Linked DNA regions of Mytilus edulis. The protein of the gene in region 2 purifies or fractionates together with the protein of the main gene of each other region. This does not show direct contact. Links are inferred from orthologs where the notes say so. Each region holds a gene or a part of one and is shown on either strand. Other genes may lie near its edges. The genes, in order: F-box/WD repeat-containing protein 5-like and WD repeat-containing protein 20-like.

The links.
Region 1: the proteins of WD repeat-containing protein 20-like (region 2) and F-box/WD repeat-containing protein 5-like purify together in Homo sapiens (co-immunoprecipitation; 3 studies listed by BioGRID and IntAct, counting the BioPlex papers as one, with this or other methods). This does not show direct contact. The link is inferred for Mytilus edulis from reciprocal best matches to the Homo sapiens genes WDR20 and FBXW5.

What each region holds. Positions count from the first base shown.
Region 1 is NC_092345.1:10,320,840-10,332,552, forward strand, and holds the start of F-box/WD repeat-containing protein 5-like, read right to left. Parts: upstream 7,931-11,713; 5' UTR 7,718-7,930; intron 1-7,717. UniProt on the Homo sapiens protein: Substrate recognition component of both SCF (SKP1-CUL1-F-box protein) and DCX (DDB1-CUL4-X-box) E3 ubiquitin-protein ligase complexes.
Region 2 is NC_092346.1:2,397,784-2,409,496, forward strand, and holds the start of WD repeat-containing protein 20-like, read right to left. Parts: upstream 6,422-11,713; 5' UTR 6,385-6,421; coding exon 6,136-6,384; intron 4,900-6,135; coding exon 4,717-4,899; intron 1,186-4,716; coding exon 1-1,185. Other genes in the region: uncharacterized protein, read right to left, coding at 6,810-8,585. UniProt on the Homo sapiens protein: Regulator of deubiquitinating complexes. Activates deubiquitinating activity of complexes containing USP12. Anchors at the base of the ubiquitin-contacting loop of USP12 and remotely modulates the catalytic center of the enzyme.

The DNA.
Region 1 (11,713 bases), on a different chromosome or scaffold from region 2:
TATGATGAAAAAAATAAACATGATGACATGATCAGTTTTTAATATTATTGATACAGCTACATGTACATGTAGGTTGATTTCAATAAATGATCTGTTATTTTGTATTTGAAAGAATTAACATTTCAGAGCTCCAGATAAGAATTCACAAATTGGGTTTTTTACCCACCATTTTCTTATATAATTGGGTGATAAAGTTTTTTGATTGCATTATCAATTCCAATTCACCCCTCATGTTAATATCAAATTGGGTTTTTCATCACCAAGCTCCTTAATGTATTGGGTTTTTTCATCAACACAATATTGAATATTTTGGCAATATCAACCCCAGATTTTTTTTCCATCTTCAAAATGTTTCTTTCTTTGTTTAGCTGTTTTATTTGGTTTAGGGTTAGGGTTAGGGTTATTTGCTAGCTGTTTTATTTGGTTTATTGACTGAGACGCAATTGTAGGTTTAATTTGTGTTCCGTTTCAAACCTTCTGCCAGTTTTGTATTTTCTCATATAAACTGTAAAAAAACGGATATATATGTGTATTCACAGGCACTCGTCTTATACCTTTATATAATAAATTCTGAGACCAGTGCCTGTGTGTGTATTCATTAATTAACCGTAAAATGAAAAAAATAGTATATAAACTCTAATTATACTTGAATGTTTTTGTTTTATTCCAATTTTCATAAATCTGGGTTTAGTTCTCTTTTATTAGAACTTTTGGTTTCTGATGCTTTATCATGTCATAATTGATTTGGCCTTTCACTTTTTCCAACTGATTTCGTTTTTGAGGAAACCCTGCTTTTATTAGCAATGTTCTCGTTAAGGTACGCACACACGCCTGTTTGTTCGATGGACGCTTCCTAAAAACACTGGCTGAGTCTTGTTATCATCATAACTTTCCCTAAGCTTTTCAAAAGAAGCAGAAAACATGCCTCTATTCAATATTTTTACCGGACATTCACTTTTGTTTTAATTCAATGTATGTTATGATAAATCCCGAGCAATGCGAAATAAATATGACTTCATGACACACGCTAATTGGATGAACACCGAGAAGATCGAAATGTTTTCAAAAACATGTGTACCTATTGAGCAACGGAAAACTCTAACAGGGACCCATTTCAGCTGCTTGATGCAGGGATCTATTTTTAGAACGACAGGAAATTTCCAATTATAAATATTATAATAATAGTTTACACGACGACTGTAAACAGATAAGGGTAAATAACGCAAATGGTAGTCAATAAAAGGGTTGAGAACTCATGGTTTTGGAATATAATTGGGTTTTCCTTTGAATTAATTGGGTTATTGAACCCTGCAATGGGCAATTGCATTGGGTTTTTTATTATTTGTATTGCGTGATCACGCAAATACGCAGCTGATCTGGAGCTCTGACATTTGTAATATTTCTTAACGTTATTGGTAAATTATTCCACAAGAATGGTCCAGAATACATAAAAGATTTTTTGAACAATTCTGTTTTTGGTTTAGGGAGTATGAGGTTTCCTTGAACAGCATTTCTCAAGGGGTATGGATTTCTGTCTGAAAGATAATGAAATTTGTTAGTAAGATATGATGGGGCATTATTTAATGCACTTAAATGTCATCACTAACTTATGATATTTTATTCTCTGTTCAACTGTCATCCAGTTTAAGTGTTTGAATAAGGGTGCAGAAGGAGCGAATGGGTCTGTTTCTAGTATTAATGTACAAATGTAGCAGCCCTCTTTTGTAATTTTAATATCCTTTTTGAACCCTCACTGCTACAACTACTCCACACTATTCAACAATAATCAATTAGTGGCAAGATATAACCATTATAAAATAATTTTCTGCAGTCTAGATTTAGAAATTTTTTAATCTTTAATAGTAGATATAGTCTTGATGATATTTTTGAGCAGATCACCTCAATTTGGTTTGTCCATCGGCATGTTAGGGAAGGGTCAATTTTAATGCCTAAAAGACTTTCGCATGTGGAAGATTGTATCACTTGATTGTTAATAGTTAAACAACTCTCATTGTAATGAGGCATTGCTCTTTGCTTCGTTCCAATAATCATATATTTTGTTTTATTTTTATTGATGAACATATTGTTATCATTGCACCCTTCCTCTACACAATGTAAATCATCTTGTATAGACCAGTTTTGTATATGCAAACATGTGGCAAAATCTAAATATGTTCTTCTACAAGCATGACAAGACATTTTTTTTTACACCTAAAAAAAACACTGGGGTAAAGCTGATGACCATAACTCAACTCACGATCATCCCAAGATTACAGGTGAAAAATTAGGTCAGTATTTGTATTGTCTGTTAAAATGTTTCAGTGAAGATAAAGGATTACAAGGAGATTTGATATTTTAATAACCAAAAACGACATCAACAATAGCCTGGCATATTTATGACATGTGTGAATAAAAATTCATGTTGACTTGTGTTTTCTTAACAAATTCAGAAAATTTACAATTTATATCATATATAGTGTTGTCAAATTATATATAAAGTATTTATTTGCAAATTTGGCTATGTAAAAAATTGTAGCAAATATACGGAAGATGTAATAAAATAAAATATTTTTCCCAACAATTAGCATTACTTTATTGTTGTACATGATTTTGGCGTTTCAATTTTTAATGTTTGCTTTATTTTTGGTGTGTTTAATTTTGGCACTTTCATCGAAGGCAACAAATTAACCAAAATAACCCAATTTACAGTAGTAAACAGGATGAATAAGAGGAATTCAAAGTGTAAATATAGTGATCCTGTAACTTATTTATTGTGGGTCATACTGGGGGTACTTTCATGAAAAATAATGGTAAAAATTCTTGTCAAATGATGTAAATTTTGGTACATGACAATAAAATGTAACTTCCTAAGACAATGAAAAAATCGACTGATTTAAACGAATCATGTTAAATTTTTTCCAAAAATGACAGTAACAATTATAATATAAGCGGTACCTCGAATGACCGAATAACACTTGAAATTTTAATATTAATACACATTGGTGACTTTAAAACATTGATTATTAAATAATAGTATATTATCGATGTATTTTATAACTTACAAATGATTTACAGAAAGCAGGTAAGTTCATAAAGATCTTTTTAAATTTAGTGTGTACATCCAACATGGTGACCACGGAAATCACAATAGCCACCATGTTGGACAGTGTTGTATGCACACACAAAAAATAAAATGATCTTTGTGAACTTATCTGCTTTTTGTAAATCATTTTTAAGTTATTAAATACATCGATAATGTATTATTATGGAATAATCAATGTTTAAAAGTCACCAATAATGTGCTAATATTAAAATTTCAAGTGTTATTCGGATAATAACAGTGTTATTCAGTCATTCCTGTTACCCTAAGGCCTAAAAAAAAAATGTTGTGTTTCCGGTCACCCGACCGACCGTCCTTCAGACCCCCCGACTCAAAAGTTTTTAAAGCTGATGTGGGAAAAAAAAAAAATTTGTATACTACCGACCGTTTTTTCTGAAAGAAAATAAAAAATTCTAAGTCCCTCGATCTTTTTATCGCCCCAAAAGAAAACAACGCTAATTTTAAACTCGAGGCTTATTTTTAGAATGTACTGGAAAGTGGAATCTAATTATATATGCGGGAGCATGCGCAGTAGTTATTTTCGTTTGTCAGTGTTTGAACATGTCAACACAACGCGTCCTATTCAATGTTCAACGCGGAAAGTGTGACCATTTCTAAATTTTACAGAAAGTAACACCTTTTTTGACATTAGCAATGAAATTCATCCAATGTCTAACAATAAACATCGATGAAAAAAAAATACACAACACAAATTTTGGCAAAAATGACTGGGGATTGATGACAATAACACAACTGTTGGAACAATGCAATCTTTTGGAATTAAATTTATCAAATTTTCATGCCAGACCCTTCTTCAAAATGAACATGATATTAATCCATCTGAAACTGGTCAGCCAATCAACGCTTTAGACATTCTGATGAAAAGCCACAGATGCTTTGCCAAAAGAAAGTGTCCTGCCAGGTACAGTGTATATGATATATTTGTCTATCTGTAGGTTTGGGATGATGTTTGGTTCATGTTCCTATAAATGAATCTGCCCCACATCTTCTCAATTTCTTTCTCGGACAATCCCAAACTTTTGGTCCGGAAATAGGGGAATTGGGTTTAAAAAGCTTATTTCTTGGGGAAGTGCTGCCCAAAATTTTTTTTAGGTTTGGACTTAAATTTTTTTTCGGGGGTATTTTAAAAGGGGGTAAACTAAAAGTTATTTCAGGGGGATTTTAAAAGGGATAAACTAAAAGTTATCTCGGGGAGATTTTTTTAAAGTGGGTAATCAATCTCTTTCTATTAAATCCCAAACTAGTGTCCATGCCTTTAAACAAAACCGAGACAGCAATGAAGCATAATATTATAAAAAAAAAACAAAAACAAAAAATAAACAAAAACAAAAAACAAAAAAAAACAAAAAAAAAAAAAAACCTACCTACCGTCCCTTAAAAATTTCATGGGGGTGATCGGAAACACAACATTATTTTTTTTTAGGCCTAATATGAGACCTCTGACGAATCACAATTATGATATTTTGATGAATGACGATAAAATTTTGATCAATTTGACGCTAATGGCAACCAAAAGTGACCGTTTGATGTCTGACAGTAAAGGGATTTACTAACCTAAATTATACATAAAAATTAAATTAAAGGGAAAATTCACGATTTTTTACTTATGGTTTAAATATGTTCATTATGACATAATATATATATTCACAAAGTTTTATCGCTATATGTGCAGTAATAAAGGAGAAATTCAATAATTAATGAAAAAATATCAACTACTTCCTGTAGGTCGTGACGTTTTCTCCTGATTTTTGCATGCCGGGATTTAAAATTCAATCATTAAAAGTCTTGGTTTTTAATCATATTTTAACGTAATCGTAAGCGCGCCGATGACTTATGCTTTATCTAATAACCATCCGATAATAAGAAGATAAAACGCACAGACGTTCAATTGTTCTCATTCGTGAGATAAATTATCTATGTTAAACGTATATATTCGAATTATTTTTGTAGACAACACAAAAAGTTATAAATTTATATTTAATAAATGCATTTTCGGACTGATAAGGTGAACAAATTAAAGTACAATAATCTGTAAAGACAATATGTTGGTGTACTATTATTGACCTTTTACTATCTCTGCTATGGCTAGGTTTATACGATGTGTGTATTCACGGTTCTGTGGCAATACTCGTAGATGGCTTGTTGAAAGGTAAATTGTTATTTGCACTTCGGTATTTAACCACGCCTCTAGGGCACACCTTGCCAGGTGTGACTGTCTATTCGGATCAGTGGTAGCATTTAATACACACATTAAAAATACATATTCAAGTTGGTGACAAATAAAAATTGGTCGCCGTGGAATTATTTAATTATATTTGGTGCTATTATTTATTTGAATTCAAATAAGTTAATTTACTAAGAAATACACAATTTTCGGTTAAAGACGGGAAACTTAATTCATATGTCAGAATGAAATGATATACAAGTCTTGTCCTTGATTTATGTCTCATAAAAAAGGGGGACTTAGAAATTAGAAATAGCTTTACTAAATCATTTTTATTTGTCTTTATTAGGTGAAAAAATGTACGAGAACACTTACATTTAGACTTTTGAAAGCCATGTATTAATTAATATATGAAACTATCTGAAGATAACTCTACCGAAGCGGAATATAATATGTACGAATAAAGAAAAAAATATTTTTGTAATGGAATCGAAAAATTACGAATAGATATTCTTTTCAAGTGTGATAAACGTCAACCAAATTTATTCATAATCGGGAACGTCCTTATTAAAATCTGAGACAACTATAATAATCGTCGTCTCCCAACGTATATATATACTTAAATAACTATTTGATCAACGATGTTTAAAATTAAAAGACAACGAATTTAATGTTATCTTTCCCTATTTTTGAATGTTATTATAAGTCTGTTCAACTTGCAAGAATACCCCTAAAGCGGACAAATATCCGAGAAGCAGTTTATTCTTTAAATTGATGTCATTGAATATCAAGAAAGAAAATAAATCCCGAAATTGATACTCAATAGTTTTCCTAGAAAATATTCACATTCCTTGGGGATTATTAGTGTACGTCCAGTTGCATATATTTTACATGAATGTTGGAACAATTGTGATGATGACGAATTTCGTCCTTTATTCGAGAACAATCTAATTGATATATAAATCTGTGAGTTTACTATATTCTTAACTTCGATGAACCAAAGCAAGTTATAAATTGACCTGTATTTAAATCAAATTGTTTCTTTTTTCTTCTTCTTCTTTTGGTATACAATAGTCTATCGAATTCGTTGATTACATACTGTTGGCAGACGTGGACTAGTCTATTTACAAAACTTTTACCACAATTTACACAAAATGTATGTTTCTTTCTTATGTTCAATGTATACATGTATACATATTTTAAATTGCGCTACTGACTATAGTTCCGTAACTTTCTACCAGGCGTATGTATACACGAATCGTCGACAAGTGCGCACATTTTTTTATATCAATAATTGTGGTATGTTCTAATCTGTCCTAAACTATTGACAACGAGTATATATTACATTTTCCCAAATTAACCCTTGGAAAAATATGTAAATAGATTTGTATTTCTTCAATTATTTTTTTTCGTATTTTTTTTAATTTATAAATAATATTCTTTACACCAGAAATGTTATTTATAAACAAGCGTATGAGTTCAGTAATGGCTAGTATATTATATCACTTTCGGACACGCAAGACAAAAATGTATATTATACATGCACCTGATAGTTCAAAATGGAAAGTTATAAGTAACGGTCGTGTACACTGATCAATACCTACAGAAGTGAAACGATGCATGAACTTGCAAGCCCGCCGGACAGGAAATCGATTGAATACCTGGACGTGTCACCTTACACCCCTTCCAATACCTTTGGGAGTAATACCTTTAGCCATGCTGGTGATCAGATGAGAGAAGATCCGAATTTATTTAAATAAAGTTTATTACTTGAAAGAATTATGAACGAATTAGATTTTCGAAAACAATTTCCACGGAACACTTATTTATCATTTTATGATTTGAACTTTGACTTTTTAACTAATTACAATATTATCAGTTTAAAAATAACAGACTATATGGTTATTTAAAAACATAAGACCATTTTCCGTATCAAGTTAGTCAGTCAGATAAAACAACCGTACGATTGACAAGATATCGACACGCAATTACGACTACATCGTTTACTGTAGTTTTGTTCCTTTGTGGTTTATTGACATATCGGGATTTTTCATCGGAGAAGGTGACAAGATGGCGGAGAGTAGAGATCTGATACTCAAAATTTAAAATCGATGGTGATCTCTTATTTAGCGGAATAAAACTTTAATATCTATAAATTTGAGCATTTTTATACAGAATGGACATAATATCAATTTTTGATTTTTTTGCGAAGTTTCCCTTTAAGACCATCAAATTTTTCTGAATGATATATATAAATTTAGGAAGATCTCTTGCAAAAAAAATCAATTTCTGAACTGTTCATTTAAATCCTATTTGAGCTATTTAATGACAAACGGGTTATATTGTTACCTATTTGGGTAACTAGTCCCAACCTATTTACATAAACTTAAAATAATTTCACTTTCTATCACATAAATTTAGTTTTATAATACCTAGAAATTATCGGCCCACTGGTTGTCAATTTCCAAGTGTATTATAGAGTTCAGATCTAAGATCGATGGTTCAATATCTCTAAAAGATAGTGAAGTATTATAACGTGATGATCTATAAAGATGCAAGAAATGGAAATTATGTCATTGTTTTCAATCTTGAGTCTGTTGATCGATTTATTTTTCTTCCACCATTTATCAGGGGAGATAATAAAAATACTGGAATCTGCTAATTTACGTCATGCTAATCCGGCTATTTTCAAGACAATGAGACATGTCCTTTAACTATCTCAAAACTAGTTTTATACGTACACGTATATATGTAAAGCAAAATATTTTCCTATGAAATATTGTCACCAAGACAATATTTCATGGATATGTATCATGAAATATTGTTCTCATCTATGAAAAATGTCCAGCGAAGGACAAATTTTCATAATGAAATTTTTACTGTATATATAGACAATTTTTTCATAGATGAATATAATTTTGTACTATGAAACTTTATTCTGTCGAAGGGAGGTCATAGGCAGTGTATATTGAGACAAAATTTCATATACAGTTTGTCATGAAATTTTGTCTCATGAAATGGGGGTATTGTAAAAGAAGGACAATTCAGTACTACCATACCTCCAAAAGGCGCTGCTGTGAAAAATTCGTCAACCTATTTATGAATATTATTAGAACATTCAATTTGAAACAAGTATAAGTGATCGTCAGTACATCACTTATATTTATTCCGTATAATATCATGTTAGACAATTCTTAAATGTATCAAAAGGGCATTAGCTACGGCGCGAAATATATAGACGTTACGCGCGATGTTCGTACATGTAAGCGTTACCAGAGACATATATATGTGTATATATGTCTCTGGCGTAACACAACGTCGCGAATATTTCGTAACGTTCAAACAAAAATTCGACTGAAACGTTGTTTTTTTAAAAGCAAGTGCGACATTCTTATAAGACTCCGCAAAATCGACGGCGCTTTTTAACTACTTATCGAAAATTTATGTATTTTAGTTTTTTGAACAATTAAGAAAAATAACATTTTAAAAAAGCATAAAATTCTACCATTATTAGAGCACTGATAAGCTTAACGTCTAAAAAAGGCGGTGCGACAACTGTAAGCCTTTGAGAAATCGCTCAAAAATTACCATATATCACTTTTCAGGATATTTGTCTTTCAATTCATAAAATTAAGCAAATTAACATTGATGTAGTAAATACAAAAACTAAACTTTTTCCATTTTAGATAAATGTTTTTTGATTCTCAAATCTGGAACCCCAATTTTTTCCCCGTGGTTTGCCCTTGTAGTATGGAACGCTTTTATTTTTTATGACGTCATCATAACGTCATAAAAAAATGCGAAACAAACTGAAGGAACCTTTCTGTTAAATAATGGAAAAAAACATTTTTCAAAATATTAAATAGTTTAGACGAAAATCATAGTTTCGTGGTTACAATTAATGAAATATGTTACCAAGGACAACCTAAAAATAGCATTTTTTTTATAAATGAAGCTTGTCGCATGCAGCATTAAACATAGTTTCAACGATTATTTTTTCGTTTTTATTTTTAAAAAAACATTATTTTTTAAAATGCGTATAATTAGTTATGAATATGATATCACAAAATTATATATTTTGGACTTGCATCTTGCCAACTACACCGATTTTCCAATGAGGTGCGTAACGTCATATATATATTTTTTAATAATATATGATTTTTTTTGTTCAATCATTAATGAAAGTGAAATGGCGAAATAAACCTTCTTTTAAAGCAGCCAGTATAGTTCGATTTTGTCAAAATAGGCTAAGAAAAATTGATGATAAATCGGCATTCACTTGGATGTGAACAGAGACATATATACACATGTGTATATTTGTCTCTGATGTGAATAAGTCGACCGTATTGAATCCATATTCATGTGAACTTCAATTTAACCTCTAGCTAGAGATGGATAACGCATCAGTCATGCGTACTGGATTATTTCAAGGGAAAGAATGTCAACTTTGAAAGTGAAACAATGGTAAATTATTCAATTGACTGATTCTATCCATATAAAAGTCATTCAGTTATACAGGTAAAAACGATGATTAACATATATTTTTAATCTATGATATGAAAATAATTCAGACCTAGACAAAAATCCAAATGGACGAGTCCAGGTTCTATTTTTATCTATATGTATGTTTTTATTGCTTATATATGGCCATCGGAGGTATACGGAGTTCAACTCGATAGTTAATTATATGGCGTCTCGACTAAAATGCACACGAAACGAAGCTTCATATTATCGAGCCTCTGCATTGTAAGTTGATTATTTTAGACTTTATATAATTTGGATATCATTTGGATAACTGTTTAACATTGCTATAAATCAAATAGAATAATTTTACCCAAATCATGGAACATAAATTTGACAGCTAGTGCCTCTTTAACCATTTATAATGTATCTCTGTTACTATGTTATTAATATTTATATATCTAACTGTATGTAAATTTAAAACTAGATTATGTTCAAATACATATTTGTTTGAAATGTAAAATACATATACTTGCTTTGCAAAATAATTTCAGTTATAGATCTAAAAATGTGCATGCTCTATACTTGCGTGTGTGTATTGTTTTAAATTTTGTAATAATTTGTTTAAAAATATTATTATGGACAGAATTTAACAGTGAAATAATGTTATAAAACTGTAGTGTTGTCAACGGTTAACCGATTGAACGACCAAATACCGAATACCAAAAACGCTAACCGGTTAACCGTTTTTTTTTTTGTTTTTTTTTTTTAGATTTGATATAAATTTGTATTGAAATCATTAAATAGGTATGTTTTATTTAAAAATTGTGGTCGTGGTAATTAATTTGACAGTTCAATTGTCCAGTATATTGATTGCTATTATTGATAAAAAAAAAACATAAAATTAATTAGAATTAATTTTGTCTATCAGCTTGGGGCAAAATCTTAAGAAAACATAATTAGTATACATGCTCTTTTACGGCGTGGGACGTTTGCGCTTTTTCATAGGACATTTGCGCTTATTTTTTTAGGACACTTGCGCTTCAAATCATAGGACATTTGCGCTTTTTAAAAAAGGACATTTGCGCTTTTAACATAGGACATTTGCGCTTTTGCAATATTTGGTTTTTATGACGATCCTGCTTTTTAAACCGGTCTTGGAACTGGCATGTGTGACCTGGCAGAGTTTAAGTAATATTTTTTTTAAAACACATTTCATATAGAACATACATGTCATAGCACATTGATATGTGTTTAAAAGTCTATATACACTGGACTAAAAGTAAACATTCTAAAGACATAAAAACACGCACAGTCATCACAGGTCAGTTTTCGCTTGATATCTGAAGCCAAAGGAGTGAACATATTTAGTATTTCGCCCACATTTCAAATACATATTAAAGTTTCCCTTTTCTCAATTTTTGACAGGGGTGCCTGTTCATCAATATTACGAATCTTAATTTAATTCACAGAGACATAGACTGTTTCAATGATACTCTTCAAAAAGATATAAAACAGCAGGATGAGTCGAGTCGAACTGTTCACTTTTGTGGGCAAGGGAAGGATTCTAGACCATTTGTCGTACTAATGACAAATATTAGTTAAATTTATTAAAGTAATGATAACGTCTGATTAAAATTACAGGTAGACGACTGTAAGAAAAAAGCGCAAATGTCCGGTCATGTAATACAGGTGAATCAAAATGTAAAGCGCAAATGTCCATAGTATTTGAAGCGCAAATGTCCTATCGTTTTACAGGTAAAAAAGCGCAAACGTCCTGTGCCCGTTTTTTAACAGATGTATGTTTCATTATAATACGTATATATAGTTTATAATACAATAAGATGTTAAAAACCTTATTACAAATATTGACGAAAATATATTAATATCAGATTCTCCCCTATCGGTTACTTTCGACGAAAATAAAATTTCACAGACTTTGAAAAGTCTCAAATCTGGAAAAGCCT
Region 2 (11,713 bases):
TCCTTCTTGACAAGCAGTCACTATACATTCTTCCCGAAATATAAGTTCAGTTAATCTTTCTGATGCTATTCGTTTACACACTAAAGGTTCTAAGATGGGTGATTCCTCTAATCGAGGACAAGCTGATGTGCCTAACAGTTTAATTGAATCGTCTACAGGTTTTACATGGTTAGATCTTAATATACTGTTTTTGTCTACACTTCGACTTGCTAAACTAAAATTTCTTTTATGTTCCTTCCTTTCTTGGCTTTCTTTTCTATCTGCTAAAGTTAATGTTGCAAATTTTGTACTTAAACTAGATGTATGATTAGTCACAGGATGGGCATTCCCATCTAAACTAAGGTCACTTGCTACTGAATTGGATTTTTGGGACTGCGGTAAACTATTACATCTAGGTAATGTATGTGAAGCGTTTGGTGTGACCAGAATACTTGTCCGTGAGCGTCCATATGGTTGTTTGATAATGTCTTCTGTAATATCCCATAAACATAGCATTGTATCTTGTCCCACTGACCCAAATCGATATGTAGTGATATTCGATGATGATGATGTTGACGGACATTCTAATGAATTTCTATTGGATTGTAGGCTACCATTTACAACATTTTCATGATTACCAGACCCAGTCTTTTTGTCTGAAGAGTCACTCTCTTCTTCACTAAACACTGATGTATAAGGGTCAAATGCAACGACCCCTATCCATGATCGATGTCCTTGACCTCTACAAACAACTCGTTTTTCAATAAAAGACCAAACTGTTACTAAATCGTCTTCACCTCCTACTACAATGTATTTACTATCGGGTGACCAGCACACACATAATAAACCACCAAAGTAACTTTTCATTGATCCTACTAATTCCATGGAATTGTAATTAAAAACACGCAGGTAGCCATCTTGTCCCACGACAGCCAGATACTGAGCACAGGGGGAGAATGCAAATTCATTAATTGGTCCATGCCCGACCATCCATCTGTACAATGGATTTCTGGTACTTTTTGTTTTACACGTGAACACTGAGAAACTGTCTCCTTGTTTAAACGGTTGATAATGAGGAGGGGTGGGGCCACACGGCAGTTCTTCATTATAAATATACATCTGGCCACTAGAATGTGATACTATGAATTGATTGGTTGATCCAGGGATCCATTTTATACATGTGACTTTGGTTTTGTCTATTAATCTCTGAAGAAAAAAAAAATTTATATCTTAGACACTAAATGCAATTTAAAAGCATATTCTTGATGAAACATATTAATGCTATATGATAATGAACCCAATTGTACCAACATGATTAGTCTGATTTTTAATGTCTTAGTTCACTTTTAGTAACAAGAATACAGGCCTAGGTATGTTATAATTATGTCAATGAATTTGATAACATGGACATGATGCCATTGATGGAAGTAAAACTCCTTTTACATTATGTCCCCTTTTACATTACACCTGTCCCCTTTTCCCTAATGTGACCTACAAAACTAGCTTTATTACCGGGTTTGTTTTAACATGAGCAACATGACAGGTGTCACTTGTTTAGTTTAAACATATTTTATTGTTCAAAATGACAAATGGATTAGACACAGGTTTTACAACTTAGTAATGTCTTCTCCAAGGTGTCACTTGTGGAGTAGGATCTCTTTACCCGTCAGGAGCACCCTAGATCGCCTCCAGTTTTTGTTGGTGTTCCTTTTGATCAGTCTTTAGTTTTCTATGTTATGTTATATTTTGTGTACTATTGTTAGCTGTTGGTCTTTTTCTTTTTTGGCATTGTCAGTTAAATGTATGAGTTTGAATGTCCCTGTGGTATAGTTTGCCTCTCTTATACAGGAAGGTTTAGTTTTACCTAATAAAAGCTACATAAACCTGGAGTAAATTAAGGTGGTACCCAACACTTTCACTAAAATTAATTTGGCTCGTTTAATTTTCATAAAATTTTTTAAAATTATTTACTTTGACCCTTTAACAAAAATTCAAAAAATTCAAAAATTTTGAACCAATCGTCTTGTCAGAAAAATTACACTGGTTATATAGTAGTTTGACAAACACCAATTTTGATCATTGAGAAGCTTAATATTCCTTTTCCAACACAACGTAATTAAACCACGTTTAGCTAACTTTACAGAGTTATCTCCCTGTAGTGTTAGGTACCACCTTAAGTAAGGAATCTAATGATCCTGATGATATAAGAGACAAAAATTCCTTGTTTTGAACATGAACTGCACTCTTCACTTTGACTGTCTCAGCAAGTGGCAGTAATTCCTAAACTAGGTCTCAGCTTGATACATTATAAATATATTCAACAATGGCCAATCTTCAACATTTATATTGAAAGACTAGAATATAGTTCATGATTTAGATATATTGTTTTTTTATATTGTATTGCTGATCTTTTTTCTTCTTTTTCAGTTTCTCTCCGTCTTTAAGAGTTTTTGCCTAAATTACATAACTAGGTCAGGGGTCGAATTTAAGCTTTTTTGTGTACTGGCCAGCTGGACCAGTGGACTGAAAACTCTACTGGTCCGGCTCCAAATCTACTGGTCCTGCAAAAATGACATTAATTTGACAAACACTAATATAAATAACAGATGTTTAATTTTATTTTTAGTGCTTTCCTTTACACAAGTTAAACAAAGGAATAGTCTTTATTCTGATTTTGATAAAGGCTTTGGTAATCTCAATAATTTTCTTTATCAAAATCAGGATCAAGGACAGAAAAAATATCCAACATTGTCTTCCACGTCATCGCAATCCTCACGACGACCATAGGGTGCCTGACTATAGGTCGTCTGGAGCGCTGTCCAGAAATATTCGATCTACTATATAATGCAACCATTCACGATCTTTTTCCCATGATTTTTGGTAATTGCGTTTCCTTTTGTCACTTTCGTATACTTTATTTCGATCTTCCTTTTGATTTTCAGTTATCTTAACTTTTTGTCCGGCGGTTTAACTCCTTCCAAAAATTTCCACATTTTATATTGTTGTGAAGGACGCTGTAATACCCCCATCCCCCATCCCCATCAAAGGGTACATGTACATTTGTACATCAGGGCAAATAACTAAGAAGTGGACTGACAATGCAATTATCAGCACTTTTGACCTACATGTATTATATGTACAATGTATATATGCAGATCTTGTCTAGCTAAGTACTATATATAACATGGTTCTTACAATTAACATATATTTAAACAAACGAATCCGAAGGATGAGTTTATTTAAATATGTTAATGAGTAAGACACAGGGTATATAAAATTTGTAATATAAATAAAATGATTGACAGCTTCAAGACCTTGAACTAATATTGTAAATTGATCACGTTACAGTTTTATCCAATGAAATGGAAGCTCGTGCAAGTCACTTTTGCGCCTCGGTATGATCTTCTGTGTGTTTCATGTAATAGAATCCCCAAATTTGAAGAAAGTCAAGAAAATGTCGGATTTTCCCGATTTTTTAGTTTTGCGCCCCGTGTATGATCGTAGAGGCAGGTAATTTCATAAGGTCATCAGAAAGTAAATAAAAATGTCGGATTCCAGGGACAAGGATTAAATTATTATTCTAATGGCGGTAAGATTATTGTTTTTTGTTGAGTTTCAAGGTATCATAAAATTAATCATAACTTACAGGTTGTTCATCTAATTGAAAAATGCATATTTATACATGTATAGTTTTCGTACAAACTGCTTTTCTTCCGTTATTTCATTATTTTGATTTTTAGATTATTTATTAAAACACAATTTTAATGATAAAACACTGTATTTAAACAGTGTCGGATCAAGGGACCGCAGATAGTGTACACCCCCCTAATTGATCGCAAATAAAAAATTATGTTTTTCACAGATTTTTGTTCCCGATATTTATTTCTTTTCTACATGTACATGTATAGTTACCCCCTATTTGAATCGTAATTTCATTGAATTTTAGCAAAGGAAACGATAGTATTACATTTTTTTTTTTTCACAAGTGAAAGAAGAAACATTTAATATTTTTTCCAAAATTAAGGGAACTCGTAACAATTCTATATAGTTTGAAAAAAGTTTCTTGAGATGGGGTACACATGATTTATTGCTTTTTGTTATAAAATGAAAACAAATGAAGATCTTGACCTTTTAGTACATTTTTCAGTTTCCTGAAAATTTCAAAGGCGGACACCTTTCAAAAAAAGGTGGAGCTTCAGCCATGGAAATCATGAAAATGAATATGTTGTACCATAGCTAAGCTCCGCCTTCTTTCCTTTGGATTCTAGTTGAGTTGCATATTTAATTAGCAAAGTATGGTACATCAATTTGCATATAATATACCATGGTTTTCCCTCACCACACTTTTTAAGCAAATTATTTCATTAAAACATCAAAGTCTTATTATTTTATTTATAAAAACAAAAAATTAGGTAAAAATCATAATCAACAGATTATTGTACAGTAACTCCTACCCATTTTAGATTTAAAGATTAAAGGCAGAAATGAAATCGTATTAAATTGTCTAAAAGAATTGTATGATATATAAATATATACATATATATATATATATGCTTTATAAGTTTTTTAATACAAATTGCATTGTGTAGGAATTTTGAATGAACTGCAAAAGGTGGATAGAAACACTTATAATCAAGTCGTAGTAAAAGCAAGGAGGTACAAAACATGGGGCATAATATGTATCCCTCCCTTCCCCCCTCTTTCAGAGTAGACATTTAAATACTTAATAATACAAACTTCTTCATTGTAAAGTTTTCCCAGCTCTTTCTTTATAGGATCAATAAGCTGTAGCTGTCCTGCAGTAAAGCCTACTAACAATCTAACACTCTCACTGGATATAATCATTCTATTAAAATCATGACATGTAGGAAATGTCCCTTTGTATAATCTCTTGTCTATAGGTTTTGTCAAATCTGCAGCCTGAAGAATAAATACAAAATCTTATATGTTTGTTCATATTTTTCACGATTCGACTGCATAGCAATACACAATATTTTTTTCCAATTACAACTGGATGAGTTTGACCTAAATTTGTCCTTAAAAGATTTTTTAGGTGTATGTTGATCATGTTGATGTTTTATGAGTTTTAGGTGTATATATACATTGTATGTTGAACTCTTGATCATGCTGATACAATACAATACAGAGTTTTTTATTGTCAATTATGACAATTATGTTAATGAGTATTTTTGGGGTAACTGTTTTATTGATGACTGACATTTTCCTACCCCTCATTTTTTACTTAATAATATATGATATTCCTTAACAAACATGGCTACACTTTGATCTTTAATTGTTTACTTTTTACAAATTGTGACTTGGATGGAGAATTGTCTGATTGGCACTCTTACCACATCTTCTTACTTCTACATAGTAGAATTTTGGGAATGTCTTTCAGGTGTAAAAAATACAATGTAGAAGCATAAGACTGTTTTCTTTGTTTATCATGTTCTTCGCCTCATGTACCCAATACCAAGGTTGTTATTTTCCTTGTTTACAATGAACATGATGCATGTTAAATGTTCAGTGTAAAAAAGTTTCATGCAATAAAAGTAATATTTTTTATCAAAAATAATTGTATGTTCTACGACTTTTTATAGAAAATAATAATAATAATTTGACTCCTAAAACATTGAATATCGGCAGCTATTAATTAAAACCATATTCACATCCATTAACAAATTAAATGCAAATTCTGCAAAAAAATAAATATGAACATTTATATGAACCCTGCATTCTTCTATACCAATACAGGTTTACTGTGTGTTGTCAAATGTTTCCTGCTGGCATTCAAAGCACTACAGGAAAACATTTATTTCCTTCTATGGCAGACAAACCTGAAATTGGTCTATTCATCATAGACATAATAAAACATGACAATGCATCCTCTGCAATGATATTTGTTTGAATGCAAATTTGGGTTAATAAATTAATCATTAGTATTTCAAAAGAAAAAAATGTCAGTAAAAGCCATAATATTCAAACCTCAACGGACTTCAATTTTAAATACCGGTTTCATCATAAATTTTATGTGTATTTATTCCAAGTCTGGTGCAAAATTTACAATACCTGGAGTGGTGTTTTGTGATTGTGAAGTACATATATATTTTATGCAAGTTGTTTTTATATTCTGTAACATAACTTTGCAAAATATACCTTTTTTACGCCCTTATAAACATAAAAATACAATTCCCTGCCAACGTTGAAACATATCCTATCTGGCGACGGAGAACCATCGTTTACATTAATGAATGACACTCTGGATGGAGTGTTAGTTTGACCATTATAGGGAACTCGGGTAGGTTTTGAATATTCTGACAATGGCATCAATTTGTACGTCCCTTCCCGGGTTACAAAGTGAGTTTTAATGTCATCTTTTCCTCCGCCCTCACTTTGGGACGCCATATTGAAATTGAGTTTTCGACAGGTGCCCGGATAAGATAAGTACGCATGCGTCATGTAAACTTCCGTGAAATAGGTAAACAATAACACGTGTGTTTGTTTACATGTTCACTTGATAACTAAACAAGCTTATTTTCAGATGACCGGTCAAATTCATTCACAAATTATCAACTTTTCTTACCATATCTTTAGCAGATAATATGAGGCAGGCATTACCTGTAAATGGGGAAGAAGTCTGTATGAATTATTTTTTTGTAACTTTTAAAAATATTTAGTCTTTAGTCTTTAGTAAGTGTCCCAAATGACACTGTAAACACTTGTGTACGTTTCCTCTTTTGTAGTTTCTTCACATATGTAATGTTCACTCATGTACTTAATTGAAATTGTGGCTGCTGCTTAAAAAATTTTGACTTAATTTTGATATAGATTTATAGTGTTTTTTGCTGTATAGTGTTTTTGAATCTACCAGACTCCGTTAAATAATTTTCCAGATGGCACAATATCTCATTTCGATTGTCTCTATTAATGTCTTCTTCATCGATTCCTAATAAGGTGTCTAAATCCATGTGTATATTTCCTGTAATAAAGTAAATAGATGTTCTCATTCTCTCTCTAGCCTCCTCATAGTTAGAACAATGTAAAAGATAGTGTTCTACAGTTTCTGGCTCTCCACAGGAACAGTTTTTGTCTGATGATGGTATAATTTTGGATTTATAATCATTTAGATCACAATAACCTGTTCTCAAACTAGTAGTAATTGAAAACGACCATTTGGATGGTAAATCTTTTGGTATTTTCTGACAGACATTTTGATGATAATTGTAATAATTTCTGCCACGTTGACTTGATTCCCATTGGTTCTGCCATTTTCTTAAAACACTTTCTCTTGCTGCACGTTTTATATCCTGCCTGGTTACTTCTGATGGTTCTTCTATTTTTTCAGCTTCTTTAGCTCCTTTTTTGGCCAGTGAATCAGCAATGTCATTTCCTTGGATATCAGCATGACCAGGTGTCCATTCAAAATTTAATGGAATTCCATTCATCATTAATACTTTCATGTTTTTCTTAATTTCTCTTATGACTTTGATGTAATTCTCTGATTTCCAGTTTAAAGTTAAAATTCCGATTGAGGTCTGACTATCTGAAAAAAGTGTAATTGAGTCTGTGTTTTGTCTGTTTTCTGATATTAAAAAGTGGTCAACAACAAGTTTAATGGCGATCAGTTCTCCGAGTAGTATTGATCCTTTCTTGGATACAGCTTTACTAATTTCAATTTGTGGTTGATTATTTGATGGAAAGATGACAGCACCTGCTCCTACAGGGCCAGGACTACCAAGACAGGACCCATCAGTAAATGCTATACATGAATTTGCAGGAAGATGACTTAATTTTTCCATTATAATGAGTTTTCCAACATTTTTTTGGTCTGTTGATCTTGATTTGGAATTTCCAAGGTTTTTCCAATAATCTGGAGGAGATTTATATCTTCGTATCCCATTAAACTCAAATTCTGCTTCTATACCATTTACATCAACACCTGTACATACCTTCATGTCTTCTGCCTGAAGAATCATTTTTCCCACTGGAGATACATATTTTTCAGGGATGTCAATTGTTTTCCAGTCATCCAGGATTTGTTTTATTGGAATGGAGATATCATACGAATTAATTTTTGCAAGTGTACGAGTTGCAATTTCTTCTCTACGCAGATGTATTGGTAGGATTCCAGAAACTACTTCCAAAGTCTCTACACTTGATGTTGGAGTAACATTAAGGCATATAGCTAATCCCTTTCGTTGAATTTTGTTCAGTTTGTCTGTTATATTGGTTTCACAGGTCTGCCAAACACTACTTGCATATTCTAAGGTGGAAAGGACAATACTTTGGTAAATTTGAAGTAGAATTTTTGTAGAAATTTTTGCAACTCCTTTGATCATTCTAAGTAGGCTAATTGCTTTATGTGCCTTTTGTTCCACATTTTCGATGTGTTTGAGAAATGATAGTTTTTCATCTAACGTGACTCCTAATATTTTTGGATTACAGTTATATTTTAACAATTTACCTTCTAGTTGTAAATTCATTTTCTTTATTGGACCATTCCTTGAAAAAATACAATATTCTGTTTTCTCAATACTCAAATTAATTCTCCATTTTTTGGTCCAATCCTGGATTATGTTAAGATCCTTTTGTACCTGTTTCTCCATGTCATTCAAGTTCTTTCCATTTATCCATACAGTACCATCATCAGCAAATTTACACTTTTTACATGATAGGTTAGCAAAAATGTCTTTGATAAAGATATTAAAAAGAAGTGGAGCTATAACTGATCCTTGTGGGAGACCTATTTTGGTTTCAAACCAGCTTCCTTTATGGTTGTTAATCACACACCTTGCTTGTCTTTCCTTTAAAAAATTGTTAATCCAATTCCAGATGTTACCTTTAACACCGTTATCATAAAGTTTTGTGAGAAGTCCTTCCCTCCAAACACTGTTAAAAATAAGAAACGGAAATATCGTAACGTTTCCGATTTTGGTTCTGTTGTTAGGGATTTTAGTTGTGACGTTATTCAAATTATGACGTCATATGCAATATAGACAAAGAAACGCTATCATCAGGTAACGTTTTTTCATATCAAATAATTATTAAAAATGAAATTGGTATTGCACGTTCCTTCCTATTTTATACTAGACTGATAAATATATATTTTACTCAAAGTTTCATACAAACGAGACCGGGAAAAGGAAGTACATTGTACATTTCTGCGCAGGTCCGGGATTTCAAAACATGACATAAAAAAATATTGAACGATTTTGAGTTCATTAGTACAATGAAAAATTCGGGAAATTTTCCCGATTTTTTTTTTTATTATTGAATTTTCTACTGTTATTGGGGACTTCGTCCCCATATAAATCCTTCGTATGAAATCTTGACTGAATGTTATATTATGAGCTCAGCTAAATATTTTAAAATCTCTTTAAGAACTTTTTAGTATATATAATTTATGTATCAATGCTTATTAAGGGGGCTCCTGGGTATAAATAATTTTTTTTTTCTAATATAGGATTTCGCTATATTTTTTCATGAATGAACTTTATCATATACTTAAAAGAAAAATGAAATAAAAAAATGGGGTCACCGTTCATTTAAGCTAAAATCTGCCTCTGGAAGAAGCATACATTTTTGTTAATGTCCTTTTTTTCTGTTGAACTAATAGGAGAAAAAGAGGAAATATCGAAATAAAAAAATAACCTAATATAAGAAATCGCTTAAATTTTACAATTATTTAGTTTATGTACAGCTTATTTGAAAACAATAATAAAAAATATAGGTCACCGATGAGTTAAAAAAGATATTTCAAATTTAAGGCCAAAAAATGGCATTTTTGCAGCAAAGGGAGATAATTTGGAGCTTTTTCAATTTTTAAAGTCATCTGGGGCCAAACCAAATCATTTTTTTGGGTTGTTTTTTGTACCATATCATAAAGTAACAACTAATAGTGTAATAAATAAAATTTGTAATGAAAAAATAGAGGTTTAATTTTTTGCTAAAATTTTTGTACCCACGAGCCACCTTAAAGGGACATTAGCTGTCAAATCCATAACCACCGATTTGACTCACAAATTTTAATATTTGATTTATAGCATACTAAGACGTATGTATGCAAATAAAGGACAAAATAAAAAAATTATCAAAGCATGGATAGAGAGATACCTATATTTTACTAGACTGATAAATATATTTCTGCGCAGGTCCGGGATTTCAAAACATGACATAAAAAAAATTGAACGATTTTGAGTTCATTAGTACAATGAAAAATTCGGGAAATTTTCCCGAATTTTTTTTTATTGAATTTTCTAACGTATATTAATGATTGTTTTTTTATTGAGAACATCTGTATAACTTGTATTTCTTTTAATATGCAACCTAATTTTTTGTTTGTGTTCTTTTTTTTTAATTGTTTATGAACATTAATAATGTGTTAATGAATACCACTGTCACGCTAATATAATTATAATCAAATTAACTATTGTCAGTTTATTGTCCTAATTTTGTATGCCATAACCATTTTAACTCGAATAATTCCGCCCCTCTATCCACTACTTTTCTCGAGGATGGAGTGATCGAAGTGATCATAATATAACGACTGGATTATTCGGGTTATAACCATTTAATGTAAATAACATATATTTAAACTAATTATGAAACCATACTAGTCAATAAATTTAACCAATTACTAGTACCATGGAAGTATTATATTGTCAATATAATACTTCCATGCTAGTACAGATTAGTAGTTCCTTTCACTTTCCTTTGCTAAGAGAAATTTAAACAACTGATCAGATATTACTTTTATCCATTTTATAATTTTACTGAATGCTTAGTGTACATACAAGTTCCTGTTTTTAACTAATTTTTAGTTTTATCCTATTCTAACTCTGTTACTATTATTTTAAATTTTAACCAGTAGATAGAATTTTAAATAACGCTATTTTAGAAATAAACAAAATTTTTAAATGCGGTGACCCTGCAGATAGGGTGGACTTCCTGAAGAAGAAGAAGTTTGTGCTAATAAATATTGTCTATATCTATAATACTAAAATTTGTCAGCCGTCATCACGTAAAAACGACGAATCAAAGAATTCAACTTTATATATAACTAATACAGTACAAAGATGTAGATTAAAAATTACACCACTCCAGGCCCTTTTGTTTTCCACGTAATTAATATTGCCAATAATTAAGAAGTTCCGGTTCGAGTCCGATACCGATACCAATAGTATATTCACCTGTTACCGATTACCTTATCTGTACGTTCCGCATCTGACAGGCGCACCACCAAACGGTGTATTCAGGATTAATATGCTATCAGGGCCGTAACTAGGGTTCTAATTCAGAGGAGGCAGGGGTTCGGGGGCCGCCGACTGAAAAAAACAAATTTTTTTCTCTCAGTAAAATGCCTTAAAATCACCCTTTTTCCTTTGATTTCCTTACTTTAAGGATTGCTTGAACCTGGAAGCAAATTTTATGCAAAAACAAGCTGAGATTGCTGAGAGTGTTGTTCTGGGTGAGCCAAAGCTCCGTCTTTAAGGCCGTACTTTGACCTATAATTATTAACATTAAATACATTGTGACCGCGGATTTTTTTCTAAATAGAATCAGTGGCTAAAAATGACCCGTTTTCCTTCGATTTCCTTACTTTAAGAAACATCAGTATTGCTGGATCCTGGAAGCAATTTTTATGCAAACAATTATTATCTGTATTTAAAGATATTTTAGTTAGAAATCAAACTGGTAAGTTAAAAAAAAACCATATAAAGCAAGATCATAGAAC